Linked DNA regions of Mus musculus: all the other regions are reported to be linked to region 5. Evidence: microRNA targets listed by miRTarBase, many of them from high-throughput screens and not tested one by one. Region 5 holds a microRNA gene; each other region holds the end of a gene's coding sequence. Distances are from middle to middle.
Evidence for each region. Region 5 holds the annotated microRNA mmu-miR-1199-5p (UCUGAGUCCCGGUCGCGCGG, at 1,052-1,071, opposite strand). A microRNA usually pairs through its seed, bases 2 to 8, with sites in the 3' UTR of a target mRNA and lowers its output. Matches are read on the target gene's strand: a 7mer-m8 pairs with bases 2 to 8, a 7mer-A1 pairs with bases 2 to 7 and ends in A, and an 8mer does both.

Region 1: the mRNA of Tmx4 is a reported target of mmu-miR-1199-5p. Seed matches in the 3' UTR shown: 7mer-A1 at 2,636-2,642.
Region 2: miRTarBase lists Sdr9c7 as a target of mmu-miR-1199-5p. Seed matches in the 3' UTR shown: 7mer-A1 at 2,045-2,051 and 7mer-A1 at 875-881.
Region 3: the mRNA of Oas3 is a reported target of mmu-miR-1199-5p. Seed matches in the 3' UTR shown: 7mer-A1 at 393-399.
Region 4: miRTarBase lists D230025D16Rik as a target of mmu-miR-1199-5p. Seed matches in the 3' UTR shown: 8mer at 371-378.
Region 6: miRTarBase lists Nxnl1 as a target of mmu-miR-1199-5p. Seed matches in the 3' UTR shown: 7mer-A1 at 1,108-1,114, 7mer-A1 at 1,759-1,765 and 8mer at 1,965-1,972.
Region 7: the mRNA of Vps26a is a reported target of mmu-miR-1199-5p. Seed matches in the 3' UTR shown: 7mer-A1 at 2,495-2,501.

The regions. Positions count from the first base shown.
Region 1 is chr2:134,596,036-134,599,116 of GRCm38, reverse strand. It overlaps Tmx4 (thioredoxin-related transmembrane protein 4), which reads left to right. Exons shown (of 8, transcript NM_029148.1): 8 at 252-3,081. The coding sequence ends at 592. Among named protein-coding and RNA genes, the nearest start is that of Hao1, 43 kb to the right of the region's middle.
Region 2 is chr10:127,909,353-127,912,433 of GRCm38, reverse strand. Sdr9c7 (4short chain dehydrogenase/reductase family 9C, member 7) reads right to left here. Exons shown (of 4, transcript NM_027301.3): 4 at 673-2,689. The coding sequence ends at 2,472. Among named protein-coding and RNA genes, the nearest start is that of Sdr9c7, 12 kb to the right of the region's middle.
Region 3 is chr5:120,751,615-120,754,695 of GRCm38, reverse strand. It overlaps Oas3 (2'-5' oligoadenylate synthetase 3), which reads left to right. Exons shown (of 16, transcript NM_145226.2): 15 at 1-140; 16 at 321-1,598. The coding sequence ends at 332. Among named protein-coding and RNA genes, the nearest start is that of Oas2, 3.3 kb to the right of the region's middle.
Region 4 is chr8:105,251,427-105,254,507 of GRCm38, forward strand. D230025D16Rik (RIKEN cDNA D230025D16 gene) reads left to right here. Exons shown (of 16, transcript NM_145604.3): 16 at 172-1,627. The coding sequence ends at 258. B3gnt9 (UDP-GlcNAc:betaGal beta-1,3-N-acetylglucosaminyltransferase 9) reads right to left here. Exons shown (of 2, transcript NM_178879.4): 2 at 1,212-3,081. The coding sequence ends at 2,129. Among named protein-coding and RNA genes, the nearest start is that of B3gnt9, 2.2 kb to the right of the region's middle.
Region 5 is chr8:84,010,543-84,013,623 of GRCm38, forward strand. It overlaps Mir1199 (microRNA 1199), which reads right to left and starts at 1,091; the gene lies at 973-1,091. It overlaps Misp3 (MISP family member 3), which reads right to left and starts at 1,178. Exons shown (of 3, transcript NM_001291292.1): 1 at 599-1,178; 2 at 169-230. The coding sequence starts at 1,142.
Region 6 is chr8:71,559,884-71,562,964 of GRCm38, reverse strand. It overlaps Nxnl1 (nucleoredoxin-like 1), which reads left to right. Exons shown (of 2, transcript NM_145598.2): 2 at 29-2,410. The coding sequence ends at 356. Among named protein-coding and RNA genes, the nearest start is that of Tmem221, 2.6 kb to the right of the region's middle.
Region 7 is chr10:62,453,998-62,457,074 of GRCm38, forward strand. It overlaps Vps26a (VPS26 retromer complex component A), which reads right to left. Exons shown (of 9, transcript NM_133672.3): 9 at 846-2,861. The coding sequence ends at 2,748. Among named protein-coding and RNA genes, the nearest start is that of Supv3l1, 5.8 kb to the left of the region's middle.

The DNA.
Region 1 (3,081 bases), not on the chromosome of region 5:
CAGGAGGCAGAGTCAGGTAGATTTCTGAGTTTGAGGCCAACCTGGTCTACAGAGTGAGTTCCAAGACAGCCAGGGCTACACAGAGAAACCCTGTCTCAAAAAGACCAAAAAAATAAAAATAAAAAATAAAAAAAATTTTTTTTTAAATTCCCCATTTGTTCATCTCCTGGTTAATCAGTGAGTTAATTACAAAGTTGCCATTTATTATCCAGAGGTTTTTTGTTTTTTTGTTTTTTCTTTTCCTTCCATAGAGCAGGAGCAGAGTACTGGAGAGGCTCAAGGAGCTGAGCAGCTACAGGATGCAGAGGAAGAAAAGGATGACTCAAATGAAGAAGAAAACAAAGACAGTCTTGTGGATGATGAGGAAGAGAAAGAGGACATTGGAGATGAGGATGAAGGAGAAGAAGATGAGGAAGAGGACAACTTGGCAGGCATCATGGCTGAGGAGAGAAGTGACACCAACGAGCGAGCAGTTGTGAAGGAGGGTAGTGTGTCCCCAAAGGAGGACGGAGCTCACCCAGCTGACACTCAGGACGTGGTGGAAGACGCCCTGAGGCAGCGCAAGAGTCAGAATGCCAACAAGGGATCTTAGGTTACATTATGACATTTCTAAAAATACAGGCCAAAAAAGAAGTCTGTTTCCCTCTGGTCTGCAGTTTAAGCCAAATCCTTAGTTGTTTGTTTTGTTTTTCTGAATGAGCAGTGTTCACTTTTAGAAGATGATCTCTGGCCCCGTGGTTACATGGTAGTAAGCCTCAGTGTCGTAAGAGAGGTGTAGCACTTAGCCATCATAGTGTTAGTACCTTTGTGGGGTCTTGAAGAGAACAAGTTGATGTGCTTGGGAGCCAAAGAGTAAATCAGAGGACTTCTCTGCAGTTCTCATTAGCACCTTTAGAAGTGAGGCTGCTGCTTGATAAAGTGACAGCAAAACCAGAGCATCCTTAAAGTGCAGGAAGTCTTTGCCGTCGTTGTTAAGCATGTGTTTTAGTCAGGTCAGAAACATCAGGTACCACAGCTCCCCAGCACTCTCTTGAGGCTAGAAATTGTGGAGACCGGGGTATAGATAGAACTTCAGCATGGAGCTAGGGAGTCATCTGAGCTCTTTTGGTCTCTCGTCTTTTGTTTCTTACCTTTCATCTCTATGACTTTTCCACCTTGCACTTGCAGACTCCCATGGTTCACAGCTGCTCTGTAGTGAGAAGAGCCGGCAGCAGTGATCTGCATGGATTACCCTTACTGGATGTAAAACTTGAGGGAACCACAGTTGAGGAGGCTAAGACTGCCAAGTGTCTCAAAGACATATGCTGTACTCTCTGAAAATTCAAAAGGCAGTGGCAGTTTCATAGGACAGGTACAAGCAACATCTTTTTTGGGTCCTATAGTTACAGGATAACTTCTTCAAGAGTTTCTCCAGCCACATCCTTTGTTTTTCTGAACCCAGAGTGCTCTAAGCCTTGTCACTGTAAGGTATTTTTATAAAGCTGACTTCAGGTCTGTGGTGGTTAGTTTCCATCTCAAGAAACCTCTCTGGAACCACTTTAATAACAACTGAAAAGGCATGTCGGCTTTGCTTTTAGTGATGTGCTTTTGGTGAAAAAACAAATTGATGAAAGTCAATTTCAGTAGGTAAAAGATTTTATTTGTTTCTATCTCCCTTGATCCTCTGGAGAATTGTGTGATTATAAATCTCTCCCTGCTCAATCCAATATCAGTATCAAGGAACCCAGATTCCTTATTAAATAAAAAAAAATCTCTATCTCCTCTCTTACCCTCTCAAGTCTGAGAATAAATCCATAAAATTAGATTCTAGCTATATGAAGGATGACTAAATTCAATCTTATTCCCCCTTGGGTTGAGTCAGAATAATGAGTACAGGTTTGTGAAACTCAAAATGTTTCATCATTTTAAAAAGGGGTATGTAGTGTATTTCTCTGGCTGCTTAGATAACGTTTTCTTTGCATTAGCTGCCAACAGGAGGGTCATTGTTAGTGGAGGTTCAGAATCTGCCTTCCTGTACTGCACAAGGCTGCTACAAACCTTGCACAAAGAAAGATTTTATTGTGACAATCCATTCTTTATGAATGTTTTTGTTTCATCTTTCTAACTTAGTTAACTGTCAGTTCAAGGCTGAGGCCATCACAGAACTGGAGACCTTACTGCCCTTCCATGTTTCTGCCCTTCTGATACATCCTTACTCAAAAGTGTCATGGTTCTGTGGTACTTTTCATCTTCCTAATAGAGCTGAGCTGCACCTTCTCTTCTGCCAGTATATTTCCTTCCTTCCTTCCCTTGTAATCCTTCCTTGATGCATGGAGTGTTTAAGCAATAGTAAATCCAAGTTCAGAGTGGTGGGAAAGGGACGACTTGCATCTCTGTTCTGTGAAGTACCCTCCTCCAAATCGACATACTGGGTTTTAATGGGATATTTGACAAGAGGGAAAGCTTGAAGGATTACAGTCTGCCTTGGCTTTGATAAATGTTTTAAAACCAGGTTCCATTTGGACCACAAATACTACCTAATAATATAATAAGATAATATATTTCCTTTCTTTTTTTTTTTTTTTTCCTGAGATAGGGTTTCTCTGTGTAGCCCTGGCTGTCCTGGAACTCACTCTGTAGACCAGGTTGGCCTCGAACTCAGAAATCTGCCTGCCTCTGCCACCCAGGGGCTGGGATTAAAGCCGTGCACCACCACCACCACCCGCATTATATTTCCTTTCTTAATACTTAAAAGATATTGGAAGCTGGAAGAAAAAGTCATGGAGAAGGGGGTCTAGTCCACTAAAATTATATTTATTTGTAGGAATCATTTTTTTTCCTGGCTTTTCTGTTTTTAACATCCTGGCAAAAATTGGGTTTCTAGTAAATAGTCCAGGACCTTAATTTCTTTCCATATGAAGCCTTAAGGTTTATTTTCAATACTTTGTTCATATAAAATTAAAGGAATAAACAACTTAAGATTAGATAAACATTTAATACATTTTTGTGTACATAATAAATTTAATCCAGAAGTGAAGTGCATGAAAATGTGATTTTCTAAAACAAAAACCATGCTTCCCTTCCATTGCCATACCTGCTATT
Region 2 (3,081 bases), not on the chromosome of region 5:
CTAGGCTCGCCACTTCCCAAAGTGCTTCCAGAAACTTCCCCAGAAGCCTTAACCCTCTTGTCTTACCAGCCATGTCTTTGGAGGAAGGACAGCTTCATGGAGATCAGGACATGTCCAGAAGTAACATTATTTGTACTTCATTCCCCAAAGTCTATAATTTCTCTAACAACCTCAGAGCTGGAGAAAATAAAAACTGAGGAAGGAAATCTGTGTTCTGTCAAGCATCTCACCCTAAGTAAAGTCTCACTTTAGCTACCTACTTGAGTAGAGGAATGGAAAGAAGCCTGGGAGAGCATACATGAAGATCTCAGAATATTGTCTAACAGTTTCCTTAGACGGATGCAATTTTGTGTCATTTGTTTGTACAGGGTCTCATGTGATCCAAGCTGTCCTCAAACACATGTAACACAGGGTAACTTAGAACTCTGGATCTTCTTGCCTCTACCTTCTCGGAGCTGCGATTAAAGGTATGCACCATTACCCATGCCTGAATTTGCTGCTAGGAATAGAAGTTAACAGACTGTAGTGGATTATATAGTGTTTCCTTCCTGGCCCAGGTATATCTTCATGTTAATTCCTAGAAACTGTGACAGTTGCCTTATTTGCAAAGAGTTTGTAGAAACGACTATCTTCAACCTCAGCCAGAAGTAGATGAAACATAAACTAAAAACATTTTGATTTTTAAATAATAATATTTGACCTTTATTGCACAAACTGCAGAATTTTAAACAATTCTATTTATTTATTTTATCACTGTTATTGTTGGGACTGATGGCACATGCCTGTAGTCATAGCACTCTGGGAGTAGAGGCAGGAGAATTATGAGTTTGAGGGAATATTGAAAGTTATAGCAAGTTCAAGGCCAGCCTGAGCTTCTGAGTAAGCTAATTGAAAATCTGAGGGTGGGAATGTAGGTCAGTGGTGAGTGCTTGTCTATGATGCTCAGGCTCTGGGTTTGATATTCAGTATATGAACTTGATCAAAAAAGTATCCTTTTTCATTAATAGTTCATATAACTCAGAAGTTGGTAGCTATTTTTAAAGACATGAATTATTTAGTTCTATGACTTATTTGAAGATGTTACAAACAGTTCATCACCTGCTGCTGGAAAAGGGTTCTGTTTGTTTGACCACTTAGCTGGGTGCCTTGGCGAAAATGACTTCCCACTCTGAGCTGATTGGCTGCTTCTCCTGTGGGACTATCACTGCCTCCCAGGTGCGCAGGTACATTTAGGTCCTTAGTACACAATTCATAGTTCTGGGCTCTGCCTCACTCAGGTTTATTGAATCGGATTTTCTAACATTGGGGTTCCTATGAGTTCTTTTGTTTGTTTCCTGGGGTTTGTTTCTTGAGACAGTGTCTCATTTTGTAATCTAGTCTTTCCTTAGACTCACAAAAATCCTCCTGTCTTAGCCCCATAAATGTTGGGATTACAAACATGAGATACCATGCCCAGCTTCCTTACACATTCACTTTTTAAAGATTTATCTTATTTTATGTGTATGCGTGTTTTTGCCTGCATGTATCAATACACATTACATTCATGCTTGGTACCTGTGGAGGTCAGAAGGGGGCATCCGATCCCCTGGAACTGGAATTATGGAGGCTGTGAGACACGGTGTGGAGACTGGGGATCTATTCCAGATTCTGCGAGGCACAAATGCTCTTAACCTCCGAGCCATCTCTCCAGCTTCCGTACGCATTTTAAGTAACTGAGTGATCCCAGTAAACATCCGAGTCTAGGACTATTGAGATCCAGGGTCCTTCAAATTTCCTTTTTCTGATCTTTGTCCCCTTGGTCACTGTCCTATCTCTGCTGCTAGCTACTGTAACAAAGTAAAACGTGAGACAAACAAAACAAAACAAAACAAGACAAGTTCATGATTTCATCACCCTCACATACCCCCAGAGTTTTGGTGCTGGTACGTAGTAAGTGCTCAATAAATACTTGAAACAGGAATCAATGGTGATTAGAGAAGCAAGCATTATATGGATCCCAATCAGATAGAGAAATGCAAAGAAAAGAAAACTATTTAAAACCTTCTCTGAGTATGCTCTGGCAGTTCTTGTTGCCATGTTACATATTCCATATATACACAAACCAGTGCCTGCTTTGAGAGCTGTGGGGAGGGGACCGAGATTCTCCTGTGGGCTAGATTGTCCCATGGTGTTTTACGGAGGTGGTGACAGCTTGTCAGTCAACAGAAGCCGGCTTTTCAGGTCCAGGAGCACTAGTACCTGCCTTGGTGAGGGGTGTCTTGCGGCCTATGCTGCAACGCTCTATCTACATCAGCCGGGGTCACATCAGGTTTCTAGAGGCCCCAGCAGATGGAAGGAGACATCAGCCTGCAGTGGGAGTGAGCTGAGTATGCTCTTCTCTGCCCACAAGATATATGACAACACCTCTTGTGATCCCCCAGTCCTTTGCCCTCTCCCCTGTGCTCCACTGGCTACCCCTTGAGCTCGCCAGCTCAAACACTGTCTGCTGGTCTTGGCAAGTATCTGCTAAGGATGAAATCTGTCACAGGGGTGGGCAGCTTAGCCAGGGTGAGATAGAGAAACTTGACGTCCAGGCCAGGGTTGTAGCGGATTCGGGGGCTCCGGGAGACAATGGCGTGCTCCATGCTGTTGGTGACATCGCTGATTCTTGGCTCTGCTGACCTCATCAAGTTAACCAACTTTTTAGTATCTGTTTGAAAATTTGGTGGCAAAAGGAAGATAGAACAAAAGCCTTTGTTATTATTATTTTTTTAAAATGTGCTCCCCTGCCTACCGAATTCTATCCAAGGTCCTTGTCTATCAAGTTCAATTCAGCATTTAAAGCAAGTCTCCCACAGTATCCCGTAACTAAACACCCATTTACAGGATCATTATAATATCTTATTTTCTCTGTCTAAACACAAGAATTGTGTCCTGAAATCTTACTGTCTTATTAGATGATCAACAAAAAGATCTTGCCCAATTCTTCTACAATAAATCACTTGGTATCTGGCTGGCCTGGAACATAAGCTTTGATTATCTGTAAATAACATGGACCTGAGGGAATAACAAAGATGATTTTCATCTTTCTGTCCCTGAGAG
Region 3 (3,081 bases), not on the chromosome of region 5:
TCCTGGACCCAGCTGACCCGACAGGCAACCTGGGCCACAACGCTCGCTGGGATCTGCTTGCCAAGGAGGCTACCGTGTACGCATCTGCCCTGTGCTGCGTGGACAGGGATGGCAATCCCATCAAGCCATGGCCGGTAAAGGTGAGGGACATGTGAGGCAGACAGAAGTATCACAGACATAGGCATGGGCAGACATGGTCCTCCCTGAGGGGCAAGACTCAGTCATGGCCCCTGTAGTCCCTGTGCCTCCACTTCCTGTGTGGTGAGTGGCCTCAGCTCTGCGGAAAGACTTAGGTAACCAGCCTGTCTTCCTTCCCACAGGCCGCTGTGTGAAGTCTAGAGAGATCAGTGGTCACCATTGATAGAAAGTGACACCAGCCCTCAGCAAGTGATACTCAGAGTATCTGAGTGTGTGTGTGTGTGTGTTGTATTTATCTGTATGTGTGTATTTGTGGTATGTCTGTGTGCCTATATGAGGGTGTGTCTATGTGCGTGTCTGTGTATCTGTGGGTATCTATATGTGTCTGTATATATGTATGTGTGTGTGTGTGTGTGTGTGTATTCATGTATGTGTGTCTGTTTGTGTATAGTGTGTCTATAGGTGACTCTGTGTGTCTGTGTATCTGTGAGTATCTATATGTGTCTGTCTGTATGTAAATGTGTGTATGTATGTGTGTTCATATGTCTGTGTGTGTGTCTATATCTGTGTATCTTTGGGTATCTATATGTGTCTATCTATATGTAAATGTATGTATGTACTTATGTTCATGTGTATCTGTGTGAATGTCTGTGTGTTTATGTGTAGTGTATCTGTAAGTGTATCTGTATGTCTATAGATGTATTATGTCTTTGTGTGTCGACATGTCTGTGTGTATGTATGTTTGTATGTGTATGTTATATATGTATATATGCATGTATGTGCTTCCTCACACCATCTCCCTTCTGCCCACCTGCCCACCCATAGCCCTCCCTTTCTTCCCACTGTTTACCCACCTGGTGGGGCTTCATTGACCTCAACCATGATCATCCCGGTGTCCCTGACTCCCACACTAGACACCCTAGGAACCAGACATCTCTAGATCTTCTAGTCTGCTGTTCATCTACCATGGGCTCTGCCCCAACTTCCACAGCCCCACCCAGGAGTGCCTCAGCCCTGCCAAGAAGCCATACTCCTCCCTGGCATCTCTCTGCCCCTTGAGCCTGTGTATATCCCTCTGCCTACAGAGACCCACCAGCTGAGGTCCAACTATGTTCCTGTACTGGCTGGTTTTGTGTGTCAACTTGACATAGGCTGGAGTTATCAGAGAAAGGAGCTTCAGTTGGGGAAATGCCTCCATGAGATCCAGCTGTGGGGCATTTTCTCAGTTGGTGATCAAAGAGGAGGGCCCATTGTGGGTGGTGCCATCCCTGGGCTGGTAGTCTTGAGTTCTATAAGAGATCAAGCTGAGCAAGCCAGGGGAAGCAAGCCAATAAGAAACATCCCTCCATGGCCTCTGCATCAGCTCCTGCTTCCTGACCTGTTTGAGTTCCAGTTCTGACTTCCTTTAGTGATGAACAGCAATGTGGAAGTGTAAGCTGAATAAACCCTTTCCTCCCCAACTTGCTTCTTGGTTGTGATGTTTGTGGGGGAATAGAAACCCTGACTAAGACAGTTCCCCAAGTAATGTGACCATGACCTTCATAGGGCTGAAGTTGTGATGACTACAAAGTACCTGGCCCACAGCCACCGCAATGAAATGAGAAAAACACGTGATAACTGGGCCTTAGGGGTGAAGATGCCGGAAGGGTCCCCAGGCCTTGCCTGTGGCTCTACCCACTCCCTCAGGAGGAAGCCCAGGAATGCAGCTTTCTTGAGTTATTGTTGGTGAAAGTTGAGGCTTTGGGACAATGCAATACTTAGATCACCTACACCCCTGTAAACCCCCACCTATGCTTTACTAGTAACCCCAATAAACCTATCGGCTCATCCACTTACACCCAGGTGGAATCTTCCTTGCTCAGTCATTGTGCCCTGTCTGAGATGAACAGACATTTGTTCATGTCTCCCCAGGAAACGTCATGCTACACCATGATGGCTGTCATCCCCGAATGCAATGCAAAACAGGGGGTCCCCTGGAGGACAAGAAGGGTTTGCAAACCCTTGATTCATAAGTCTGTTTTCCAACAAGAATCTTCCCTTTTTGCCACACTATGGGTAGACTTTGGATAGTGTTTGTCGCTCATTCCCTGATCCCCACCAGGACCAGAGTGATGCCAAGATATCTCCAGGACAAATGTCTACTTGCCTGTCTTACATGGGAGAAAGCCTACAATCCCCTAGTGTCTAAGTGGCAGCCAGGAGCCAGAGGGTAGAGGACAGGGAGACATATCCTATGAATGTCCCAATCTGGAGACATGGAAAGCAAGTGGCAGATGCTGGTGACAGTGTAGCCACAGCAGGATCCTCCAGAGGAACCACCGGAGGGATGGATGTGGTCATGATCCATCCCCAGGAGAGGAACAGGAATCAGAAAAAGGAGTCTGTGCAAACCCATCTCAGACAGCTGGGCTCTGCCTGGACCACTGCTGGGGACAGACCAACAGGGATGTAGGATGGTGGGGAGAGCAGAGCCTTCCTAGTGTCTTCATTCTTGCAATCCATTCCTGCCTTCTCAGCTTAGCCTGAGAGGACAAGGGTTCCCCAGGTCCCCTCTCTGCCACCACCTGTGCCTCCTGCTCTTGGCTACTACACCAAGACTCCACTAGGGTTGTTCCCAACCTCACCTTGCCTAATCAACTCAGTGAGGATGCGAACCAGACCCCATATTATGTCTCCTGATAGCTGCTATTCTCAGAGTTCTAGACCAGTGGTCCTCAACCTTCCTAACGCTGCCAACCTTTAGTACAGTTCCACGTACTCCCACGTAGGTGTATCTACAGGTACCTGCCTGGAGACAGAAGAGAGGTATCTCAGTTATGGTCTTAACAGATGGAAAAATGTGTTTTCAGATCATCTTAGGCGACCCCTGTAAAGGGGTTGTTTGATCCTGGAGGGGCGGAGACCCACAGATTGAAATTGCTGCTCTAGGCAGATGTGGAGGCC
Region 4 (3,081 bases), 21 Mb from region 5:
GCCATGTGTCCTGTGAACAACAGGCAGGCCTTGAGCAGAAGTAAGCCCCACTGACAGGAGGTTGGTGATTGAGGAAATGCAGGGCCCGGGCCTGTGTGAAGTGCGCTGTGTGTGCACCCTCTAGCCCACCCAGTCCTTCCCTCGTGATCTGCTGTTCTCTTCTTACACCAGGTCATGCAGAACAACCACATTGCCTCAGTGACCCTGTATGGCCCCCCCAGGCCTGGTGCCCACCTGAGAACAGCAGAGCTGCCCTAAGGACATCACTGTTTTCCCTGTCCATGGAACTGTGCGTCACATCCAGCTCAGTGGGTCTCTGTGCCACCCTGTGTGTTTGCTTGGACACCTTGGCAGTGTTGAAGGGCCCTGGGACTCAGAAGGGTTTGGAAGTAGGATTTGGGCTGAGTCCTCTGCCGTGGGACGGAGGACCCAGATACTCTGTCCTAAGCCTGCTGTTGCCAGGAGAGAACACAGTGTGCAAAAAGAAGCACAAACTTAGAGCCATGATGAGGGCTCTCATAACTAACATGTAATAAAGGACACGTCAGCCCCTGCCCTGCTCACATAGGGAAGACAGGACTCTTTCTCTAGCTAAGAAAATATTCCCAGGATGAGAACAGGCTCCTGCTTTTGGCCCGACATTGCCACGTGGCCCCTAAGGTGAGCAGAGCAGGTAGCATGTCGGTAGTACTTGGTTGCAATATTTGCACTCCATCCACTTTAGTGACTTGATGAGCTGGCTGTGGCTGGTGTGGCCCACTGCCCTTCCCTGCTTCTCCTGTGAGTGCTCCTTGCCGTGCCCAGGTGGCACCTAAGTGGATGAAATCGTTTCCTACCAGGTATGTACCAGGCCTGGTTCCCACTGCTGCTCTGGGAGCCAGCCTTTAAGGTCACCTGTGTCTCTTGGTCCAACCTGGCTGACAGGGCTGCATGTCTCCATCTTGTTTGCCTCTTTTATTTAATGCCAAAGTGTTAGCCAAAGACACCTTCCTCCTTTTGTTACATTACAGCATTCTGTTATGCACTGTGGGCCAGCTCCTTGCCCTAGTTCTGGGCACTGGCCTGGCCTGGCCTGGCTACTTGGTTTGAGGCCTAGAGGCTCAAGGAACACTAGGCTGCTTGGTTTCTTACATGGGTCTTGCTAATGGGAAGTAGCATATATGTGCTTTAAAATAGTAATCCTTTTGAAAAGAATTGAGAAGAGAAACATATAATTTTATCCCATTTTTAATATTTTGGTCTAGCAACTTGTGATACATAGATGACAATTTTGTGAGTTTTTCAAATGTGTGTACAGATTTTTGTAAATAATGACTTTTGTAATTAACTCATGTACAGCCTCATCTTGTATAGTTCATGATGAATGTGCAGGGGACCTGCCCCAGCTGTCTGTATGGTTCCTGGGCCTACAGCCAGGCCTGTGTGGCACTCCCATGACTGATTTGACAGGTGTCTTCCCATTTGGACCTTCGTCTGGCCAGAGACCCTGCACATCCCACTGTCAGGGTAGCCAGGACTCTTCCCATCCTCGTGATCAGAGGAGACTTCCTCGTCCCCCTTCCAATAAAGCACCTATGCCCACAGTGACAGCGTGCCATGTGCTGCCACTGGGCTGTTTGTACTAAAATGTGAGCTGTTGATTTCCTTGAAGCTGGAGTTGAAGAATATGAGCAATCTTATAGTGGAGGAATCTTAGGACTCCTTCCGGGAGGGGGATGGGTCACCCTTCAGAAGTACACTGGCATGGTTTTGTGTGTGTGTGTATAGTGGGCAAGACGGTGACACATGATGGCCCCGCCCCACATGCTACAGGCAAACCTCGACCTGAAGGGCTTAGTTAGCTCTAACACCAGACCTCAAAGGGAACAGATAAGATATGGCCACTGGGAATCCAATGAGAGAAGGAAGGAAGCTAGTAACTATACGAAAATGCCTGCCAGGTCCACGAGGGCTGAGGCCTGGCTATGGGTATATCCACTTGTGTTTGTTTCATCCCAGCCCTAGCTCTCTCAGTGAGTGATCTGGAGAAAAGTCATGTACACCATAAACCCACATGGAAAACCCCTTTGGGTTCTTTCATGTTCTGTCCTGCAGCTGAGTAAGAGAAGTTTGATACCGTGAGAGATAACTAAGAATTCCATTGGAAGGGACCTGTTGCCACAGGCTGCGGATGTGCACAGACTGGGCCCTGAGGCCCATGCAACAAGCGCCACATAAGCCAGATGTCAGCTGCAGACAGCCCATGTACTACCACCAGTTCTCGGTAGAAACAGGGGTCAAAGGTTCGAAGATGAGGTGCAGCTGAAGGCTGGGAGATGCCAAAGGTGCGAAACGCTGGATGAGGCTCTGGTGTGAGCCGCAAGCGCTGCAAACACATGCCTAGAAAGACATCGTCTATGGGAAAGAGCTCAACTTGTGAGCAAGCATCAGCTAGGCGGCGGAGCGTGGCTCCCGAAAGAACAAAGCCGCCGCCACCTGCGTAGGCAGGGTAAACGGGCAGTCCATACACAGCCCGGGGAATGAAGTACTTGCTGGCTCTAGCTCGGATTGGCCTTGCCTGCACAATCACATCACCCGCAAGAAGGTCCTGTGCGGGATCCCGGAGCTCCAGAAACTGCAGCAGGTTCCTCACGTGCACGAACACATCTGCATCGCCCTTAAAAACAAAGTGTACATCTGGACAGAATGCTGAGGCCCAAGATAGAAAGTGAATCTCCTTCAGCGTTAGATTGAAAAAGGTGTCTTCGAAAGCCCAGAGCAGAATGTCTGCATAAGCTCGGCTCTCCGCCTCCAGCAGGGTGCGCCAGTGCGAACGGGTGCCTGCCCCGCCAGAGCCCGCCCCCTTGGGCACGCCCAACAAGAACACTCGGCGCACGAGTGCCCCCTGCACGCGACCCTCGGCTCCCCAAGTCTGGCGAACGGCTTCCCGCCGCTCAAAGTCCGCAGCCACAGACTTGACAGCGATGAGCAGGTCCGGCGAACCGCCGGATGCGCCGTCGCTGCGGCATTTGCGACGCTGGTTAATGAGCAGCGGGAAGCGCCGTTGGTCCTTGGCGCGCAGATACCCGCCGAAGTCAAAGG
Region 5 (3,081 bases):
TCTAGGCCTCCACCTCCTCTTCACTCTCTGGATCGCGTCTAGGACTTTTGAGTTTGGGTTAGAGTGGCGCTCCAGGGGACCAAGAGGCACCTTCTCCCTCCACCCCAGTGCCCAGGTGCTGCAGGGAGGGCTGGGAGACCGACAAGCATCGGAAAGGGAGTCTCCCACCTTCTCAGAGGCCCGTCTCCGCGGAGGCCAGATCACCGACAATTTTCCATCTCCCCTGCTCGCTGTGGGGGAAGGAACACTCAGCCGCGACTGCCCCTCCTCTTGCCAGCTGGAGGATGGCCGCACCCCTTATATACATACAGGTGTGCACCCCTCTTCCCCATGAAGGCCTCCACCCAGTTCTGAGGACCCAGGAACAGGAATGAGGCAAACTCAATGTAGAGAGGCACCCGAGTACTACAGAGGACCCGAGAACGCCAGAAGTCAAGGTTCCAAGGTCTGATGGATGTGGGGATCCTCACTCCAGGAGTGGGAGTGAAGAAAAGAAGGTGAACCCCCAGGAGAATAGTTAAGGGTCTGCAAGCCTACAGATGAATGATCACTGGAGGTGGAGACAGCTGGAGCTCTAGGGCCCAGGGGGACCGCTTACGGGTGAGGCTCGGCGCTGGCTCCTGGACCTCGGCGTCGCCGTAGATGCTGCGCCGCTGCAACTGCAGCTCCCGCTCGCGCTCGCGCACTCGTCGCACCTCCTGCTCCAGCAGTGACGGGGCAACGAGCGGTGGCAACTGCCCCAGTACCGGACAGCCGTCCTGAACGGCGGGGTGCAGCCGGCCTCCGGTCTCTGGCTGCCTCTGCAAGCCAGCGCCGTCCTCCGCCGCAGCCTCAAAGAAGCGCTTGAGTTCGTCCAGCGGCTGCGGCCGCCGCCGGGCGCTAGGCTCCGGAACCGCGGGGCTCGCCAGCGCCGCCTGCCTGTGAGCCTCGCGTTCGATGTCCCGTTGCATCTTCGCGCCCGCCCGAGCGCGCTCCAGGGCGCGCGGCAGCGGAGTACCGGAGCCGGGCCGACTGAGCACCGGCCGCACGCGCAACTCAATGAGTTCCTCGCCCGCGCGACCGGGACTCAGACCCCGGCTCCGGCGCAGGCTTTCCTCCCGCTCGCAGCTGCGGCGGATTTCGCGCTGGATGGGCGTCTCCATCTGCAATTCCGCCGGCGCCGGTTTGGATGCCGCGGGCTTCGGTAGAAAACACACCTGGAGGCCTCTGAGCCGAGACAGGGGCACAACTGCCCCAGTACCTCCGTTATACTAGTGCCAGGCGGCCCAGCTGTGGACCGCCCGGGCGCTCGGTCCGGTGCTCAACTGGCACCTGCGGGACCTGGCTCTCTGGCTCCAGAGTCTGCAAGTGCTCCTCTCCAGAGGTTTCCAGGACCTCACTGCCTCCCCCAGCAGCCCTCGGTGCCCTGGCTCTGCGGCTCCCGGAACACGTAGCCTTCAGGCGACCCCAGGACTCCACTCTCGGACACCCGAGGACATGGATGTTTGGAGTTAGGCGCCCTTTGAAAATTTTAGTTCTCAGAGCCGAATTGAGATGCCCAAATAGGTAGGACACGGTGCCCTGTGCAGTACCTGTAGTTACAGCCGCCGCCCGAGGTTCATAGGCGTCGCCAGCACTCTTCTTTGACCCGCCTCTGGCCTCCAGGAACATCCCCTGGGGGCAGGACTGGGCACCGCCCCCGTCACCTGCCAGCTGGATTCGAGTGGCCCTGGACCCGCCCTATGGGCCAGGGCGCCTCCACTGCTCTCCGGATTCCCGCCACCTGAACACACGGGTTGACTGAAGGGGTGGCTTCTTCGGAAAGGGCTTCCCTGAACTCACTACCCAGGGGGTATGTGTCGCCCTTTCCCTCTGGTACCACGCTGGCATTCTGGGGTCTTTTTTTTTTTTTTTTTTTTTTTTCATCACTTTCCGGAGACCTGACCTCTAGCGGAGCGCCGCGCTGATCGCTGAACCACGGCCTCCTTACAGAGTGTTTCCCCGGTCGTCTTTCGCTGACCTCACTAGTCTAGGTCAGCAAGTGCCAGCCTGCGGCCAGCGACACCACTCTCCTTCCCCCCGCCCCCTATCCCGTGATCTCCGGGCCTTCTCTGCACACTGATCGCTGAGGCAACACAGCTCGAGTCCAGCCCGAGGGTCGCCCGGGGCCGCCGCACTGGGTGCTGCTGCTACCCGGGGCTGCTCAGCTCTGTCTGGTTTGCAGCGGCGCTGCCGCCACTCAAAACCCTGGGGCAGATTCCCCACCCCCACCTTCCAGAAAAGCCCGCAAGGCATTGGCAGCCAAGTGTCCAGCTAGAATGAGCGGTGTTTGAGGGCACAGACATTACAGGACTTCCGGGCCTCAGCCGAGCAATTGTGGCTGGAAGGCGGTCAGCTTGGACCAGTTTGCCCAGGAGGCCCAAGATGGGGCAGAGGAGCCACCGGGTTAGCGGGAGGCAGTAGCGACCTTTGTCTGGTGCCCGATCTGTGTTTCGGGACAGGGTCGATGACCCAGAGTGAGGGCTAACCACTCGTAGAGACATTTCCACTCGCCCTTGTGGAACCCGGCTTTCACAAAAACCGGCCCACCCTGTGTTCTATAGTAACCTAGAAGAAAGAATTGCCTAAAGAAAATGGAAAGATTAAATGGGATTAAGAGAGTGGTGGCACACTCCTTTAATCCCAGCACTCAGGAGGCAGAGGTAGAGGTGTCTCAGGCCAGCCCCTATTCTCCGTAATGAGTTCCAGGACACCTGCATTTCCAGATCTTGCTTCACCAAAAAAGTAAATGGAAATAGAGGGCTACACAATCCCAACTACTTGGTCACCCTTTTCAGTCTGTCCTCTCTTACAACCAGCCTCAAACGGTGCCTCCTCTTGGGTTGGAAAGATGGCTCATCAGTTAAGAGCACGGGCTGCTCTTCCAGATGACCAGGATGGTTCACACTATCTGTAACTCTAACCTTATGGGACCTGACCTCCTCCCAAACCCAGGCACTGTCCCAACATGGTGCACAGATACATGTGCAGGCACATGGCTGATACACATAAAATAAAAACAAATAAATCTTTAAACAAGAGTAAGTTTAAGGCCTGGGATGA
Region 6 (3,081 bases), 12 Mb from region 5:
AGGGAGGCTGACAGCGCTCTCTCCGCAGGGACCTCGGGCGCCAGTTCTCTGTCCGTCAACTGCCAGCGGTTGTGGTACTTAAGCCTGGTGGGGACGTGCTGACAAGCGACGCCACGGAGGAGATCCAGCGTCTGGGACCCGCCTGCTTTGCCAACTGGCAGGAGGCCGCAGAGCTCCTGGACCGCAGCTTCCTGCAACCGGAGGATTTGGATGAGCCTGCGCGGCGCAGCATCACCGAGCCTCTGCGCCGTCGCAAGTACCGAGTAGACCGGGATGTCGGCCGGGAGCGGGGCCGAAACGGCCGCGACTCTGGTGACCCCCAGGGGGACGCGGGTACAAGGGCGGAGCTCTGGTGACTCCCAGGGTAGGAGTGGGGACGGAGCTCTGGTGACCCCCAAAGTACCCGGGTGCAGGGACAGAGGTCTGATGACCCCCTCCCCGCAAGGTACCCGGGTGCAGTGGTACCTCCAGAGGAACTCGGTGTAGGGGCAAGGCTCAGATTATCCTTGTCCTCTTCTAAGTTCAGTATGTTCCCTAAACAGCAGCCCAGGGTGGCCTTGAACTCACCATTCTCATGCCTCAGTGGAAGAGTAGCTGGAATGCCAGCCAAAAAGAGACAAGAGGTTTCTTTCCCAGATCTCCTCTAGTCTTTGAAAGAACATAGACTCCCACGAACAGATACCCTGAGCAAGATTCCCAGGTCTTAATCATGCACTAAAAATCCATAGAACCCCAAACTCAAAACTCCCATCCAAAACAAAACAAAAGAAGCAAAAAAGCACTCCTGCCAGGCGCACTCTGTGATGCACCCATGTCATTCAGCGCTCTGGTTGCAAGAGAGGGCCAGCAAGCTGACTCTGTGCAGATAGGCTCATGTTGTCAAGACTGACAACCCAAGTTCAATTCCTGGAACCCACTGAGTGGAAGAAAGACTGACTTCCGCAAGTCAGTTCTTTACACACACGATTGTAAGTGCATGCCCACACAGTGACAAATGAGTATATCTAGCAAAAATAGTTGGGATTTTGTTTTGTTTTGTATTGAGACAGGGTCTCTGTATAGCCCTGGCTGTCCTCGAATTCGTGCTGTAAACCAGGCTGGCCTCGAACTCAGATCCTCCTGCCTCTGTCTTCCAAGTGCTGGGATTAAAGGCATGCACTACCGCCACCTACAAAAAAGAAAAAAGAAAAAAGAAAGGAAGAAAGGAAGGAAGAAAGTGTGTGTGTGCAGAAGGTCAAGGCCATTTTTCGCTACATAGAGAGAGCACTAGGCCGGCTGCGGCTAGGTGAGACCTCGATCTAAGCCTCTGAGACTTCCGGACAGGACCCTTGTTTCTCTCAAAGGCTAAGTGTGTGCGATGTTTTTGCTTTTGCCTACGGCGTCCCCTGGCGACCGAATCGGGATAGTGCGTGAGTTTAAAACCCTCCTGCACCAAGCAAGTCCACGGAAGCTTGCAAACCTGACTTTCTGGGATCAAGAATCTGACTAGAGGGAGTAAGAAAGCTGTGAACCAGGGGAATCGGACCCTGCCAACCTCTCATCTGCCTCCGCTCCCAAGGGAGTAGTGGGGGAAACAGGTTCAAGACTGAATAAGCCTGACAACCTGTATTCGATCCCGGGGAACCCACATAGCGCTACTCAAACAAGTTGTCCCTTGACTTGCACTCATGTCCCCTCAAAGAGTAATTAATGGAGAATTTAAAATTATTATTTTGCTTTTTCAAGACAGGGTTTCTCTGTGTTGCCCTGTAGGCTCGAACTCAGAGATCCTCCTGCCTTTGCCTCCCGAGTGCTAGGACTTAAGGCATGTACTACCACTGCCCAAGAGAAAATTTAAAATGTTAATTAAAGGAAATAGAAATCCTCACTCACCCCTTTTAGGAAATAAAATGTGTACAGTTGCATGGGAATCTGCTTTGTAATCCACAACCGTGAGATGGAGTTGGCCTGGGAACCGGCGTTGTGACTCAGAACCTCACTGCTGGCGGCTGGGCTCCCAGGCTTGCTTATGTGTGTTCCTGGCTTTGTAGCTGACCCTGGTTGAAAGGTAGACACATCCCAAATGTCCATCAATAGATCAATGGATCAACACCTGTGGGATGTCCAGAGTGGACTATTGCTCAGCCACGAACAGGAATGAAGCACTGACACAGGCTACCATACCAGAGATTGAGTGGCAGCAGCCAGACACAAAACACTTCACTTGGCAGGAAGTGTCCCCAACAGGGACAGCCACAAATGGAGCTGCCAGGGCCTTGAGGACAGTGGAGCATGATTGATAGGAGGGACTCTCTTAAAGAGATAGAATGCTTCCAAACTAGATAGATATAGGCAGGGTTGCTCTGTAAATGTGCTTTAAAAACAAACACAAAACAGCGAGTAAAAACTGGATACTCTATTGTAAGTTTCATTCCAATTTGTTAAAAGTGATCTTTTTTGTTGTTTTTTGTTTTGTTTGTTTGTTTGTTCGTTTGTTTTTTCGAGACAGGGTTTCTCTGTGTAGCCCTGGCTGTTCTGGAACTCACTCTGTAGACCAGGTTGGCCTCGAACTCAGAAATCCACCTGCCTCTGCCTCCCAAGTGCTGGGATTAAAGAGGTGCATCACCACCACCCAGCCTAATTTTTATTTTGATTATATTTTCAGCAGCATATGCATATCTGAGTGAGGGTGAGGCCAGAAGCAGGAAGAGGGTGTGGAATCCCCTGGCCCTGGAGTTGCAAGCAGTTGCAAACCACCTGATAAGGATTCTGGGAACAGACCACCGAGTCATCTCTCCAGCCCCTCTGTTTACTTCTAAAGACAGTGTCTTGTAGTCCCTACTTTCTTCCAAGTGTCCACATTCCCATTGCCTCACCCTCTGAATTGATGACAGTGACGGCAGGCCTGTGTTATTGTGCCTGATTTGTTCAGATATATACACATTGAGAAGATGGCTCAGTGGATAAGAGCACCAGCATTTCTGCTCTTGCAAAGGGTAGAGTTTCAGTTCTCAGCATCCACACAGTGGCTAGTAACCATCTGTAACTCCAGTTCCAGGAGCCTAGAAGCCCTCCTATGACTTCCACAGATACCTGACATGC
Region 7 (3,077 bases), not on the chromosome of region 5:
TGAAAAACTTTAAATCTGTAAAGTCTCTGCAGAGGTATATGCCACTGGAGGATGCTTTCATAAATGATCAGCAGTTAACCCGACATAAACAAACCAGGAGGTAGAGGGGCGGATTAGAGTTAGCCTCTGTTGACAGAGTGCTTGCTCAGCATGCTGCTTAAGATGCTCAAAGCCTTGGGTCATGAAGTCTAAGCACCATGTAAACCAGGCATGGTGGTGCAAGCCTATAATACCAACACAGGGCGGCAGAGACAGAGGACCACAAGTTACAGATCATCTTGGTGTGTAAGTTCAAAGCTAGCCTGGACTACAAAACCCTATTTTATTATTGTTTTCTTAAATGTATTTTAAGGTCATCCTCAGCTATATAGTGAATTTGAGATCAGTCCTGGCTGTAGAGACCAACCTAAACAAAACAAGAAATGTGATTACTGTCTCTTCAATCCTGGATAATCTTGTTTTTATGTTAATGCCCCAATATATGAAAAACAATCTTTTTTTAGATGGGGGTCTCGTTACACAGCTCTAGCTAAGCTGGAACTCACTATGTAGACCAGGCTGACCCTGAGGTAGTCCTCCTACCTCTGTAACACACATGCTGGGACTATACGTATGCAGCACAACTCCCATTAGAGTCTGATTTTACCGTCTAGGTGAGATCTAGGTGTGACCGTTTTTCTAAAGCTCCTGAAGTGATCCTGGCATGTGACTAAGATTGAGATTATCTATGACACTATATTCTGCAGGGGGCAAACAGATTTAGCCTATAGTTAACTTTTTTATTTATCAAGTTTTGACTGAAATCCCCAAATTTTAAGTTGGTTATGCATCAGAAAAGAATCAAATGGAATGAATAAGCATTTTATATGAGTTTTAAGCAAATTAATTAAAAGCATTATATAACTACTTAAAACTGAAGCTGGAGAACCCAGAGATGGTTCAGTGGTCAACAGCACTGGCTACCTTGGTTCTGTTCCCAGCACCCCCATGGCCGCTCACAAACACCTGTAATTTCAGCTCCAAGAGATCTAATGCTCTCTTCTGCCCTCCTTGGGCACTGCCCACATGCCTGCACAGACATACTTGCAGCCAAAACAGCAATACATATAAAATAAATAAAACCTAAAAAAACAAAGCAAAACAAAACCTTAACAAACCTGAAGCTAGTACTACTAATAAAAGTTCACTGTTGTGACTGTCTTCCTAACCACTGGGCAATGCTGTAATGACAAGATTTGAGAATAAAGTCATTTTATTTAAACTACAAACTTAAGTTTCTGTTTCAAATTATTTATTTTATATATCATGGTTGCACAACTTGAGGCTGGTTAAATACAATTGTTTTTCAAAATCTCCTTGAATATTTCCTAGATTATACATGCAAGTGACCATGAAAATATTTGGCATTTTGAAACTTTGAGACTCTGAACAGGCACTTACATGAAGGAGAACATGGCCGTCCTTAGAAACCCACATTGACAATAGCTGCTCCAGGACGTGGTATGTGAACCTTTGGCCAGGGCTGGTTGCTGGCCATTTTATCAAAGTGCCATCATAGTAAAAAATAGGTTTAAGGAAACATAAGTTGGGCTGTTGAGCTTCCTAGAAAGTAAAGTTAACTGACAAACCTGTACTGAGGTGTATCAAGGAACACTGGTACAGAAACCAACAAGCCCTGAGTGAGAGTGGCCCCCACACAGGCTTCCTCCTGCCCCATACGCCTCAGTTGTGTGTCTGTGCTCAGCTGACTGCAGCCTTCTTTTCAGAGAATGGTATGAATTTAGTGTTTTTTGTTCTGTTTGGTTCGGGTTTTTTTAAATAGACTACGTGAAGTCAAGTTTGAACTAGCCAATATTCCAGTTAACAAGAAATTGTCCGGCTATGGACACTTCGGCTGGTTCTCCCAAGCTCTCTCATTCCTAGGTGACGATTTGCATACACATGGAAAGTAGTCCTTAAATTAAAAAATATATACATGTTTCAAAGTCTTTATGGAAAAAAAATGATACAGGTTTAACAAGTTCTAAAATGCCAATGTGTCAACTCCACACTGCAGAACCTACATGATGATACAGAAAGTCATAGCAAACGTGGTCAATAAGGGGCAAGAGGGCCACGATGACAAACCATGTCATCCCTGGGGTGACAATCTTTCATATACCTCAGAGATCCCAAAGATTAAAATTCAGGAGGCTGTGAATGGTAGACCCAGAAGTGCCTACCATGTAACACCAGGTTGGTTTCTGATCCACATGTAAAAATAAACACAATTCTCAAAAATACTGAGGAGCCATGCCTTAAAACTTTGTAGGACATAAGGGCTGCTCAGGTTTTTCTCATTTTACTTGAACAAAAATATTTAATTTTTTGCACATAGAGAATAAGAGGTAATCATTAGCATGAAAACAGAGAAAAGGATTTTCAACATTATGCATAAAGAAAGCAAAATTACAAATACCAGTCTACTCACATGAAAATCCTTAATGTTTATGCTTCTGAGTGCTTATCAGTGTGCAGTAAAAAAGAAAACAAAAAAGGCAGCTTAGGAATTCTCCAGTGTTTCCAAGAAGCACTTTTTAAAATGTATATACACAAAACCTTTAATCATACTGTAAAATAAACGCAGCACTCTAGGATAAGGAAGACTAGCAGACGTGGAGTTGGGATGTCCGCACGCTGCGACTGTCGTCAGCCAGCTGAGCTGCTCTCTTGGCCCGGTTCTTGCACTTGCTGCTCTGCCCACCTGCTTACATCTCAGGCTGCTCCGCAGAGGCCTGCGAGTCTGGAGATTCAAACCGCTGGTGAAAGTTCGTCCTCTGTTTTCTCAGTTTCTCGGGTGCTTTTCTCCACAGGATGATCTCCTAGAGGAAATGCAAAACCGAAATGGAGTTCTCTGCTATGTCTTAGATGGTCACCATGGAAATACTGGCTGCAACTTCAATTTTAAGCTGTAAAACAATCCCAAATGCTCTGTACGAAAGCCCCCAACTTTCCTGGGTGACCCTTCCCCTCTCTCCGTACTCACAGTCAACCACCACAAATCCTAGCTGTATTGCTTTAGAAAATCCCCCAATCTG